2 linked regions of the Macaca fascicularis genome follow. The protein of the gene in region 1 interacts with the protein of each later gene in a biochemical or structural test. Links are inferred from orthologs where the notes say so. Each region holds a gene or a part of one and is shown in the gene's direction. Other genes may lie near its edges.

Evidence for each region.
Region 2: the proteins of ITGB2 (region 1) and ICAM1 form a complex in vitro, tested with the Homo sapiens proteins (4 studies listed by BioGRID). The link is inferred for Macaca fascicularis from reciprocal best matches to the Homo sapiens genes ITGB2 and ICAM1.

Annotation. Positions count from the first base shown.
Region 1 is NC_088377.1:2,151,296-2,157,658, forward strand, and holds part of ITGB2 (integrin beta-2), read left to right. Parts: intron 1-293; coding exon 294-481; intron 482-2,298; coding exon 2,299-2,543; intron 2,544-3,027; coding exon 3,028-3,247; intron 3,248-3,627; coding exon 3,628-3,830; intron 3,831-5,622; coding exon 5,623-5,789; intron 5,790-6,092; coding exon 6,093-6,155; 3' UTR 6,156-6,363.
Region 2 is NC_088393.1:10,829,234-10,835,596, forward strand, and holds part of ICAM1 (intercellular adhesion molecule 1), read left to right. Parts: intron 1-2,344; coding exon 2,345-2,608; intron 2,609-6,363. UniProt on the Homo sapiens protein: ICAM proteins are ligands for the leukocyte adhesion protein LFA-1 (integrin alpha-L/beta-2).

The DNA of each region.
Region 1 (6,363 bases):
GGGAGTGTGCTCAGCTTATCTTGATTTGCTGTCTGCGTGTCACATGTCTCTGCCGATGTGCGGCCTGGGAGATCCTGGTGCCGGTCACAGCGGGAGTGCGGGCAGAGCACCTCCTTGCCAGCTGACTTTGGCTTCTCGGATCTGAGCATCAGCTCTTCCCTGCTCCCAGTCATCCCCTCCTCGCCACGCTGAACCCCCCACGACCCCTGCAGAGGCCAGCAGGTGAGGGCTGGAAGCCGGGCTGTGACCCTGGCCGCCGAAGGTCCCCACCTGAGCCCAGCACTGCCCTGCAGGTCACCTTCCGGGTGAAGGTCACGGCCACAGAGTGTATCCAGGAGCAGTCGTTTGTCATCCGGGCACTGGGCTTCACGGACACAGTGACCGTACGGGTCCTTCCCCAGTGTGAGTGCCGGTGCCGGGACCAGAGCAGAGACCGCGGCTTCTGCCATGGCAAGGGCTTCTTGGAGTGTGGCATCTGCAGGTGAGGCGGGCACAGGTCCCCGTGAAGCCTCCCCCAGCCCCACCCCACAGGGCAGGTGTCTGCAGGTGAGGCGGGCACAGGTCCCCACCCCACAGGGCAGGTGTCTGCAGGTGAGGTGGGCCCTGGTCCCTGTGAATGCTCCCCCAGTCCCACCCCACAGGGCAGGTGTCTGCAGGTGAGGCGGGCACAGGTCCCCGTGAAGCCTCCCCCAGCCCCACCCCACAGGGCAGGTGTCTGCAGGTGAGGTGGGTGCAGGTTCCCATGAAGCCTCCCCCAGCCCCACCCCACAGGGCAGGTGTAAGCAGGTAAGGTGGGCACAGGTGGCTCCATCCCCACCCCCACTCCACAGATCGGGCGTCCTGGGGGCCCCCTTCTGCAGGAGGTGGGGAGATTTGGGATTGGAACCCAGAAACCCTCGGCAAGCCCTCCCCCGTGCTCCTGAGCCAGGGCACCAGCGATGCCAGCCTGTACTCTACACTCTCTGGCCATGGAGGACCCAAGGCAGGGGACTGGTGGGCAGGAGGACCCCCTCACCAGAGGATAGAGGCCCATGTCAGGGGCACAAGGAGTCCCCACTGGGCGTGCCCATGGCCTTGAGTAGGTCACTTTCTCTGCCTGACCTTCCTTGACCCTCGGAGCTGGCTTCTTTCTGTCCTTGGGGACCCAAGGCTATCAGGCTGGCAGCCCTGGGGCATGAGAGGCCAGAGAGCCTCCTGGGACAGGTGACTGCTTCTGGCAGCCTGGGCCCCATAGGCCTCCCTTCGGGAGTGCACACCCCCTGCCAGGCGTGGGCACCCCACCTCAGGGAGAAGCTGGGGACAGGTGGACCCAGCGGGGAGGTTCACATGGCATTCAGCCAGGAGGCTTACCCTGGGGCTGGATGGCTCTCCCCCTTTCCTTGCCTGCCTGGCGGAGCTGCTGGGCTGACCTCCCAGGGCTCTGCCCCGTTTGCTCTGGCCACCTCCTCCCCTCTCCAGACTGCTGTGCCAGTCCACGCCCTGGTGGCAGTGGACCTGCAGGTCCCTGCTGCCCCCAGCCTCCTCCCATTTCTCAGGACAGTGATGGTCTCTGTGGTCTTGGTGGTCTCTGGCTGTCCCCGTGCCTCAGTGCCCACCCTGCCCACTATCCTGGGTGTGCAGTCCTGGGGCGGCCTCTTCACGGGACTGTAGGGGTGACTCAGTCGAAACACTTGGCAGGTGTCGCGGGGTGCCCTGCCGCAGGTAATCAGATGCTCGGTCCTGTGGCTTCCTCCTCTGGGGAGCAAGACAGCCCATGGCAGGGCTGTCCCTGAGGATGCCTCAGGGGCTCCTGTCTGCCCGCGTCTTGGTGACAGCTTCCACATCTGACAAAACCACTTGTCCCTGAGTTCTCCCACAACCTGGCCGGTCAGTGCACAAACGCAGGCGGCAGCTGGCTGGAGAGAGGGCGGGGCTGTGGCAGGTGGCAGTGCCAAGTCCCCGCTGGCCACCACGTGGGGCATGCAGGAGCAGACACCAGCCACTCACAGGGCACCAGTGTCGCAGCACAGGCCATGTGCATGGCAGCAACACAGCTGCACAGTGAGCCTGCCGAGCCGCTGCATGCTCAGGCCGAGGCCAGGTGTCTGCTTTCCCCTCGGGACATCCTGGGGAGGGAGCCCAGGGCCCCCGCACGTTTTGAGCACATTTAGTACATGGCAGGTCCTCAGTAGGCCTCGAGGAAGGCACAGACAGTGTGCCACAGGGGTGTTCTCCACCAAGGGCAAGGGGCCTGGAGGACGGGGCGGCCGTCTCACATCACTGTGGGGAGCCTGACCTTGGAGCTCCTCCTGTCCCCAGGTGTGACACTGGCTACATTGGGAAAACCTGTGAGTGCCAGACGCAGGGCCGGAGCAGCCAGGAGCTGGAAGGAAGCTGCCGGAAGGACAACAACTCCGTCATCTGCTCAGGGCTGGGGGACTGCGTCTGCGGGCAGTGTCTGTGCCACACCAGCGACGTCCCCGGCAAGATGATATACGGGCAGTACTGCGAATGTGACACCGTCAACTGTGAGCGCTACAACGGCCAGGTCTGCGGCGGCCCGGGTGAGCCCGTAGGTCCCTGCTGTACAACAGCCGTCCTGCGGCACAGACTCGGCGTTGGGGGGTGCATTCTGGAACACGCAACGAGTGGAACAAAAAGGGGGGATCCTGAGGACAGACAGCGCAAGTCTCGCCCGGCCACTGGGCGTCAGCAGGAACTTGGACGACCCTGCACCCCGCCCTGCCTCAGTTTCTGTCTCCATGAGGGCAAGGGGTCCTTGTGGGGAGGGTCCACAGGAGGAACGATCACAGCCCTACCGAGGTCCCATTCACAGCAGGGCAGGGGCAGGCCCAGACTGGCCAGGAGGTGGCCACGTGGCTGACAGGGGCTGGAAGGCCTGGCTAGTGGCCCGGTGCCTTTTGCTCAGGCACATCCCCCAAGCTGGAGGGGGCAGGTGGGCCGGAGGGAGCGACAGCAGTGGGGTTTCGGGCGGGTCTCGGTCCCCAGGCCAAGCAGGAGCTTAGTCGTGCTGCCCCCGTCTTCCAGCGAGGGGGCTTTGCTTCTGCGGGAAGTGCCGCTGCCTCCAGGGCTTCGAAGGCTCAGCGTGCCAGTGCGAGAGGACCACCGAGGGCTGCCTGAACGCGCGGCGCGTCGAGTGCAGCGGCCGTGGCCGGTGCCGCTGCAACGTGTGTGAGTGCGAAAGGAATTACCAGCCTCCTTTGTGCCAGGAGTGCCCCGGCTGCCCCTCGCCCTGCGGCGAGCACATGTGAGTGCAGGTGGAGCAGGCAGGGTGGGCAGGGATCCCTGCTCCCCGGCCACCTCCCCAGCAGCTGGGCTCACTCAGGGTCCCCAGTGAGCACCTCTGCACCTCAGGGTTCTCTGCGGGTGCATTTGGACTGAGGAGCCCTCAGCGGCCGCTGCACCCCTGTGCCCCCCTCCCTCCTGTGCGCACCTGCCATGGGCCCTGGGATCAGGCTCCCAGTTCACCCACTGCACCCCGCATCTGCCCCACTCGGGCCCCCTCCTTGGCCTGAGGACACCCCAACCCCACCTGCCCCACCTGGTGGACACACACCCAAGCCCAAGCCCCTGATGCCTGAGCCCCCGCACGCCCTGGCACCCACGCTCACGCCTGGCTCCCCACAGCTCCTGTGCTGAGTGCCTGAAGTTCGACAAAGGCCCTTTCGGGAAGAACTGCAGCGCGGCGTGTCGGCGCCTGCAGCTGTCGAACAACCCCGTGAAGGGCAGGACCTGCAAGGAGAGGGACTCAGAGGGCTGCTGGGTGACGTACATGCTGGAGCAGCAGGACGGGTGGGATCACTACATCATCTATGTGGATGAGAGCCGAGGTGAGGCCACTGGGGTGTAGCGGGGACCGGCTCCAGAGCTCCGACTGCGGGGTCTCTGCAGAGGCGAGGGTGGTGCAGAAGCAGGGTCTCACCTCCAGTGGTGTGGGCCTAGCAGGGTGGGTGAGCCATGCGGGATGCCCTTGGTGGCATTGCAAGGAGGCCAGAGGCCAGTTCCCCCAACCCCGAGCAGCCTCCCTTTTCCATCCCCTCCTCACCTGACCCCGCATCAAGCTGGGCAGCAGATGGCCTGTTCCCTGGGGCACCGCTGCTCCACACCGGGCAGGCCCACCAGCATGCCACACTGCCCGGGCCAGGTCATCTCCCACTGGATGCCTCATGGGGCCAGGCTTGGAGTTGCAGGTCCCTAGGGGTGGCCTGAGGTCAGGCTGCTGAGTGAAGCTCCCCTGAGGGGATTGAAAGATCCTGGTGCTCGGCTTTCAGCCCTGGAAGGGCCCAGGGGCACCAGGCACTGCCATCCCCCAACACTCTCTGCTCGTCACTCATTTGGCTCCAGTCGGAACCAGGCCCAGCCCCACGGTGACCTTGGTGGCACTGACCCTGTCTTTTCAGGTCTCATGTTCCACAGGCTCCCGAGAGGCAGAGGGGCTGGGACTGGGGGGCCGCTGGCGGACTCCATCAGGCATGGCCAGCAGCCAGCCAGAACTCTTGCAGGACTGAGACCTGGGAGCTCCTCCCTCCCCAGGAGGGGACCCAAGGCAGGCAGTGGGGTGCTCTGAGCCCAGTGCTCTGACATGCCTGGAGCTCACAACCCACACGTGGGCCTGGGGCTGCAGACCCCCGTCTGCCAGGGCAGGAACCCCTGCAGGCCACTTTGAGGGACAGACCTGGGTCATGTCTGGTTTGTGCAATCCCGGTCAAGTCACTTCACCTTTGAGGACAGGTGAAGGAAGGCAGACCCCCCACCAGGAAAGACAGGATGGCAGGAGGGGGCCCGGGGAGTGAGGGTGCGGGTCAGGATGGCAGGAGGGGCACAGGGAGTGAGGGTACGGGTCAGGATGGCAGGAGGGGCATGGGGAGTGAGGGTGCGGGTTAGGATGGCAGGAGGGGGCACGGGGAATGAGGGTGCGGGTTAGGATGGCAGGAGGGGACCCGGGGAGTGAGGGTGCGGGTCGGGACGGCAGGAGGGGGCCCAAGGAGTGAGGGTGCAGGTCAGGATGGCAGGAAGGGGCATGGGGAGTGAGGGTGCCAGGTCAGGCCAGGGACTGCCTGTCTGTCCCAGGGTCAGCAGCTGTGGGCCTGGTCCACTATGGCCACAGTCCCCATGCTCAGGAGGTGAGCACAGCTGCTGCGGGAACCAGGACCTCACGCTGCTTATCCTGGTAGCGGCCTCACCTGCTGAGCTCAGATCTGGGCCTGTCCTTGACGACCATAAATCACCTTCGCAGTAGGGGGAGCGAACGCCAGCAGGGACCCTGAGCCTTATTCTGAACTCTGATGTAGAACAGTGGGGTCCCTCACACTGTCTCCTACCTCCCAGTATTAGCGCTCTGCCCTGGCTGCCCAGTACCCTGGCCCTGCCTTCTTCTCTGTGAGCAGGGGTGGTGGCAGTGGCCCTTAGATTTCATTTGGAACCATGGGGCCTGGCATTGAATCCGGCAGGGGCTCGGCCAGGTTCTCACTGACCCCTGGCCGTGGTGATGGACGGTGAGCCAGGGCCCTGGGAACCTCCGTCTCTCTAAGTGCTGTGTTGTGCGGTGACCTCGGACCTGTGGGCACACACGGCCCAGTGAGATGGGGCTGGACTGATGCTCGGTGCGCTGCTTCTTCCTAGAGTGCGTGGCGGGCCCCAACATCGCCGCCATCGTCGGGGGCACTGTGGCAGGCATCGTGCTGATCGGCGTCCTCCTGCTGGTCATCTGGAAGGCCCTGACCCACCTGAGCGACCTCCGGGAGTACAGGCGTTTTGAGAAGGAGAAGCTCAAGTCCCAGTGGAACAACGTAAGCTGCCATCCTCCGGGGTCCCACGCAGAGGGGCGTGTACGTCCCACACTCTGCGACCTCCTGCTGCGGGAGGCCATGGACACCCACGCATGGCTGCACCTCGGCCTCCCCGGGCAGCTTGTCCTCTGGGCATCCGCCGCTGTGGGTGAGCTTGGCCGCCGGTGCTGGGACCCTGGGAGGGCTGCCCCACCTCCAGCTCTTCCTCAAAGCGACGGCTTCCATGCGGGGAGTATCTTCAGGTATAAAGATTCTGCTCTGAAAACCTCCCACACTCACAAGCCTGTTTGCGTTTCCCACCAGGATAATCCCCTTTTCAAGAGCGCCACCACGACGGTCATGAACCCCAAGTTTGCTGAGAGTTAGGAGCACTTGGTGAAGACAAGGCCATCGGGCCCACCACGTCTGCCCCGTCACGCGGCCGAGACATGGCTTGCAACAGCTCTCGAGGATGTCACCAATTAACCAGAAATCCAGTTATTTTCTGCCCTCAAAATGACAGCCATGGCCAGCCAGGTGCTTCTAGGGGCTCATCAGGGGGGACAGCCCTGCTCTGACCTGCACAGTCCTTGCA
Region 2 (6,363 bases), on another chromosome or scaffold:
ATTTTTTCCCACCTTCGGAGGCAGCAGAATCTGAGGGACCTAATCCAAATAGGCCTGCCCTGCCGCCTGCCCTCCCTCCATCCCTCCCTCCCTCCCTCCCTTCCTTCTTTCCTTCCTTCCTTCCTTTTTGTGAGACAGAGTCTCACTCTGTCACCTAGGCTGGAGCGCAGTGGCACGGTCTGGGCTCACTGCAACCTCTACCTCTCAGGTTCAAGCGATTCTTCTGCCTCAGCCTCCCTGAGTAGCTGGGACTACAGGCGTGTGCCACCACGCCCGGCTAATCACTGTGTTAGCCAGGATGGTCTTGATCTCCTGACCTCGTGATCTGCCCATCTCAGCCTCCCAAAGTGCTGGAATTACATGCATGAGCCACAGTGCCCACCCTATAAGCCCCTTCTTTCTTTCTTTCTTTCTTTTTTTTATTTTGAGATGGAGTCTTGCTCATCCCGCAGGCTGGAGTGCAGTGGCACTATCTCGGCTCACTGCAAGCTCTGCCTCCTGGGTTCACGCCATTCTCCTGTCTCAGCCTCCGGAGTAGCTGGGACTACAGGCGCCCGCCACCACGCCCGGCTAATTTTTTTGTATTTTTAGCAAAGACAGGGTTTCACGGTGTTAGCCAGGATGGCCTTGATCTCCTGACCTCGTGATCCGCCCGCCTCGGCCTCCCAAAGTGCTGGGATTACAGGTGTAAGCCACCGCTCCCAGCAGCCCCTTTCTTACCTGCCCTTACCTGCGAGATAGCCAGTTGCTACCTGCCCTGTGCTGAGTTACTTGTATTAGCAAGGAACAGGGTGGCTATACTCACACACCTTACAGATGGGGAAATTGAGGCCCAAAGAGGGGGAAGCTACGTGTCTCAGGGAGTGAGGAGCCAGTCTGATTCCTGGAGGGCTGACTCTCTCCACCTTACTTCTTGGGAGGGAGGAGGGCACCAACTTCACGTTAAAATCTGGTTGGACACAGTGACTCACACCTGTAATCCTGGCATTTTGGGAGGCTTAGGTGGGAGAATCGCTTGAGGCGAAGAGTTTGAGATCAGCCTTAGCAACATAGTGAGACCCCATGTCTACAAAAATGTTTTTCAAATATTAGCCAGGTATGGTGGTGTCCTGTAGTCCCAGCTACTTGGGAGGCTGAGGTGGGAGGATCACTTGAGCCCAGGAGTTCAAGGTTACAGTGAGCTATGATTGTACCACTGTATTCCAGCCTGGGTGACAGAGGGAGACCTGTTAAAAAAACAAAAAAACCGATGGCTAAAATCCTCCCATGGCTCCCTATTGCCCTAAGTATAAAGAACACATGTGGCCGGGCACGGTGTCTCACACCTTATAATCCCAGCACTTTGGGAGGCTGAGGTGGGCAGATCACTTGAGGTCAGGAGTTTGAAAGCAGCCTGGCCAACGTGGCGAAACCCCATCTCTACTAAAAATACAAAAATTAGCCGGGTGTGGTGGTGCTTGCCTTAGTCCCAGATACTCTGGAGGCTGAGGCAGGAGAATCACTTGAACCTGGGAGGCGGAGGTTGCAGTGAGCTGATATCGCGCCACTGCACTCCAGTCTGAGTGACAAAGCGAGACTCCATCTCAAAAATAATAATAATAATAAATAACAGCACACATCTTTAGCATGGCCTTCAGTGCCCATGGGATCTTCCTTAATTGATCTCCCGCTCTTCATCCTTGCTCACTCAGCTCCAGCCACCCTGCCCGAGGACCTCTGTACTTGCCTGGAACTTACTTCCCTTTTCTCTGGACAGCCAGCCCTTTCTCATCATTTCGATCTCTGCTGAAATATTACCCTGTCACCAAGGCACTGTCTATTCTATCACCCTGTTTTGTTTTTGTCAAAGCTCATATTAACATCAGTTATTAATTATCTTGTTTGCTCATAATTTTTTTTTTTTTTTTTTTTGAGACAGAGCCTCGTTCTGTTGCTCAGTCTGGAGTACAGTGGCACAATCTTGGCTCACTGTAACCTCCGCCTCCCGGGTTCAAGTGATTCTGGTGCCTCAGCCTCCCAAATAGCTGGGACTACAGGCACATCCCACCATGACCGGCTAATTTTTGTATTTTTAGTGGAGACGAGGTTTCGCCATGTTGGCCAGGCTGATCTCAAATTCCTGACCTCAAGTGATCTGCCCGCCTTGGCTCCCAAAGTGCTGGGATTACAGGCGTGAGCCACCGCGCCTGGCCTGCTCATGAATTTTTCTCTTTAACTTCCACATCGAAGGCAAAGTATTGTCTTGTTGAGGCTGTGCCTCCAGCACCCGGCGCAGGCTGGGCGCACATTCCCATTGATGAACCTGATTTGTAATGCCTGTCACCTCTTCCCGCGTTTCTTCTAGGACCTGGCAATGCCCAGACATCTGTGTTCCCCCCAGAAGTCATCCTGCCCCGGGGAGGCTCCGTGAAAGTGAATTGCAGTGCCTCCTGTGACCAGCCCATCTCGTTGGGCATGGAGACTCCGTTGCCTAAAAAGGAGATACTCCCGGGTGGAAACAACTGGAAGATGTATGAACTGAGCAATGTGCAGGAAGATAGTCAACCAATGTGCTATTCAAACTGCCCTGATGGGCAGTCATCAGCTAAAACCCTCCTCACCGTGTACTGTGAGTAACTGAGCCCGGAGGGCTGGACTAGGCAGACTGGAGTGGGAGAGACGTAGAGGGGCACCTGCAGTGGCCTGGGAGAATCTTTGTTACTTGCTGGTAGGGTCAAGGAGGGGCTCCTTGAAGGGCAGGTGGGGACATCCTTAGAAAGTCCCTTTAGGCCAGGCACGGTGGCTCATGCCTGTAATCCCAGCAATTTGGGAGGCCGAGGCGGGCGGATCACGAGATCAGGAGATCGAGACCATCCTGGCTAACACGGTGAAACCCCATCTCTACAAAACAAAAATACAAAAAAACTAGCCGGGCAAAGTGGCGGGCGCCTATAGTCCCAGCTACTCAGGAGGCTGAGGCAGGAGAATGGCGTGAACCTGGGAGGCGGAGCTTGCAGTGAGCCAAGATCCGGCCACTGCACTCCAGCCTGGACGACAGAGCGAGACTCCGTCTCAAAAAAAAAAAAACAAAAAAACAAAAAAATTAGCCAGGCATGGTGGAGTGTGCCTATAGTCCATCCCTGGGAGGCTGAAGCAGGAGAATCACTTGAACCCAGGAGGCCGAGGTTGCAGTGAGCTGAGATCATGCCACTGCACTCTAGCCAGCCTGGGTGACAGAGTGAGACTGTGTCTCAAAAAAAAAAAAAAAAAAAAAAATTAGCTAGGCATGGTGGCATAAGTCTGTAATCCCAGGTACTCATGAGGCTGAGGTGTGAGGATCACCTGAGCCCAGGGAGATGGAGGCTGCAGTGAGCTATGATCATGCCACTGCACTCCAGCATGGAAGACAGAATGAGACCCTGTCTCAAAAACAAAAACAAAAAAACAGCAAAAAAAAAAAAAAAAAAAAAACCCAGTCCTGGAAAGAGGTCTATAGGTGTCCCTACCTACAAGGGAAGTGGTGGGAGTTATGGCACTATTCACTGCCACTTTGTACAAAGGGCAAATGGGAAAGGCTAGAGAGAGAAAGCGTGGCTTGGCCATACCACAGAATAGCATGCGACCGTGTAGAAGAATCAGGAAGTTCCTGTGAACTGAAAAAGAATAAGCTCTGGGGTGTATTGTAAAGTCAAAATGAAAGAAGGTGGCTGGGCGCAGTGGCTCATGCCTGTAATCCCAGCACTCTGGGAGGCTGAGATGGGCGGATCACCTGAGGTCAGTAGTTCGAGACCAGCCTGACCAACATGGAGAAACCCCGTCTCTACTAAAAATACAAAAAAAAATTAGCCAGGCATGGTGGCACATACTTGTAATCCCAGCTACTTGGGAGACTGAGGCAGGAGAATCTCTTGAACCTGGGAGGCAGAGGTTGCGGTGAGCCGAGATTACGCCATTGCACTCCAGCTTGGGCAAGAAGAGTGAAACTCCGTCTCAAAAAAAAAAAAAAAGAAAAGAAAAGAAACGAAAGAAGGTATGTTGAATATGAATGGCATGCCACCCTCACATTAGGGAGTGGCAGAGGGGCAGTTTCGGGGAGGCTGTATTTATGTATAAAATAGTCCTAAAAGGAAGTGGGAGAAATGACAATATTAGTTGGCTATGAGAAGACAGGCTGCGAGGCTGTGGGAGAGGGTTTGGGTGTGGAGAATTCTTTTTTTTTTTTTTTTTTTGAGACAGAGTTTCACTCTTGTTGCCCAGGCTGGAGTGCAATGGCATGATCTCTGCTCACTGCAACCCCCGCCTCCCGAGTTTAAGTGATTCTCCTGCCTCAGCCTCCCGAGTAGCTGGGATTATAGGCACCCGCCACCACGCCTGGCAAATTTTGTATTTTTAGTAGAGACAGGGTTTCTCCATGTTGGTCAGGCTGGTCTCAAACCCCAACCTCAGGTGATCCGCCCGCCTCGGCCTCCCAAAGTGCTGGGATTACAACGTGAGCCACTGCGCCCGACCGAGAATTCTTTTTTGTTGTTGTTGTCTTTTTGAGACAGAATCTTGCAGTGTCCCCAGCCTGGAGTGCAATGACATGATCTCGGCTCACTGCAACCTCTCCCTCCTGGGTTCAAGCGATTCTTCTGCCTCAGCCCCCCAAGTAGCTAGAATTACAGGCGCCCACCACCATGCCCGGCTAATTTTTGTATTTTTAGTAGAGACAGGGTTTCATCATCTTGGCCAGGCTGGTCTCGATCTCCTGACCTTGTGATCTGCCCGCCTCGGCCTCCCAAAGGCTGGGATTACAGGCGTTAGCCACTGCGCTCAGCTGAGAATTCTCTTTGCGTTCTTCCTACTTTGGGGACTTTGAATGGTGAGAATTAGTTACCAAGGCCAAAATAAGGAATTCAAATGAAAACAAAACAAAATCAAAGAAGAAAAAACAGAAGAGCACTGGGCAGGCCAGGCACAGTGGCTCTATATGCCTATAATCCCAGCGATTTAGGAGGCCGAAGTAGGAGGATTGCTTAGAGGCCAGGAGTTGGACACCAGCCTGGGCAACACAGCAAGACCCCATAGCTACAAAAAATAAAAAACCTAGCCAAGCGTGGGTGGCATACTTGTAGTCCCAGATACTCAGGAGGCTGAGGTGGGAGGATCGCCTGAGCCCGGGATGTCCAGGCTGCAGTGAGCCGTGATGACACCACTGCACTCCAGCCTGGGTGACTGAGAGAGACCCTGTCTCTAAAAAATAAAAACTGGGCCGGGCGCGGTGGCTCACACCTGTAATCCCAGCACTTTGGGAGGCCGAGGCGGGCGGATCACAAGGTCAGGAGATCGAGACCACGGTGAAACCCCGTCTCTACTAAAAATACAAAAAAATTAGCCGGGCGCAGTTGTGGGCGCCTGTAGTCCCAGCTACTCGGGAGGCTGAGGCAGGAGAATGGCGTGAACCCGGGAGGCGGAGCTTGCAGTGAGCCGAGATCGCGCCACTGCACTCCAGCCTGGGCGACAGAGCGAGACTCCGTCTCAATAAATAAATAAATAAATAAATAAATAAATAAATAAAAACTGGCCAAGTGGCTTTGGGATTAGCCTTGGGTTCTAGTCCTAGCAAGGCCTTTAACAGTGTGGGGGACATGGCTTCTGTGTTTACTTTGCAATCAGGTGAGACCTCCTCTGATGGGTAAAATGACACGGTGAGGGACAAAGGACATTCTCCTATCATTGTGTCAGGACAAGGAAGCCTCTGGGTAAATGATCAGCTTTGCTCCTGATTTGGAGGGTGGGTGAGCAGATGCTGACCTTCCCAGGTGAGGGAAGTCCCTGAACATTCCAAGCAGCTTCTGAAACCCCCAGGGAAACCTCTTTGAAGGTCTTTTCTGCATCTCTGATAGGTTGTTTTTTTGTTTTTGTTTTTATTTGAGACAGAGTCTTGCTATGTTGCCCAGGCTGGATCACTGCAACCTCCATCTCCCAAGTTCAAGCAATTCTCCTGCCTCATCCTCTCTAGTAGCTGGGACTACAGGCACCCGCCACCATGCCTGGCTAATTTTTGTATTTTTAGTAGAGACAGGGTTTCACCAAGTTGACCAGACTAGTCTCTAATTCCAGATCTCTGGCGATCCACCTGCCTCAGCCTCCCAAATGCTGGGATTACAGTCTTGAGCCACCGCTCCTGCCTCTGCCTGATAGCTGAGAGTGTAGAATTCCAGGTTTGAGACCCGGCTCTGCCACATTTCTCCCTCTATGACTGTCAGTGCCCCACTTTGCCTGAGTTTTTACCTCTGTGAAATGGAGCAGATGGCTGGCACAGGTAGCAAAGGAGTAAAAGGTGTGTGGGAGGGTGTTACCTGAGAGAGACTGTAGCTTAGTCTTGCACCACCCCTGGTGTAA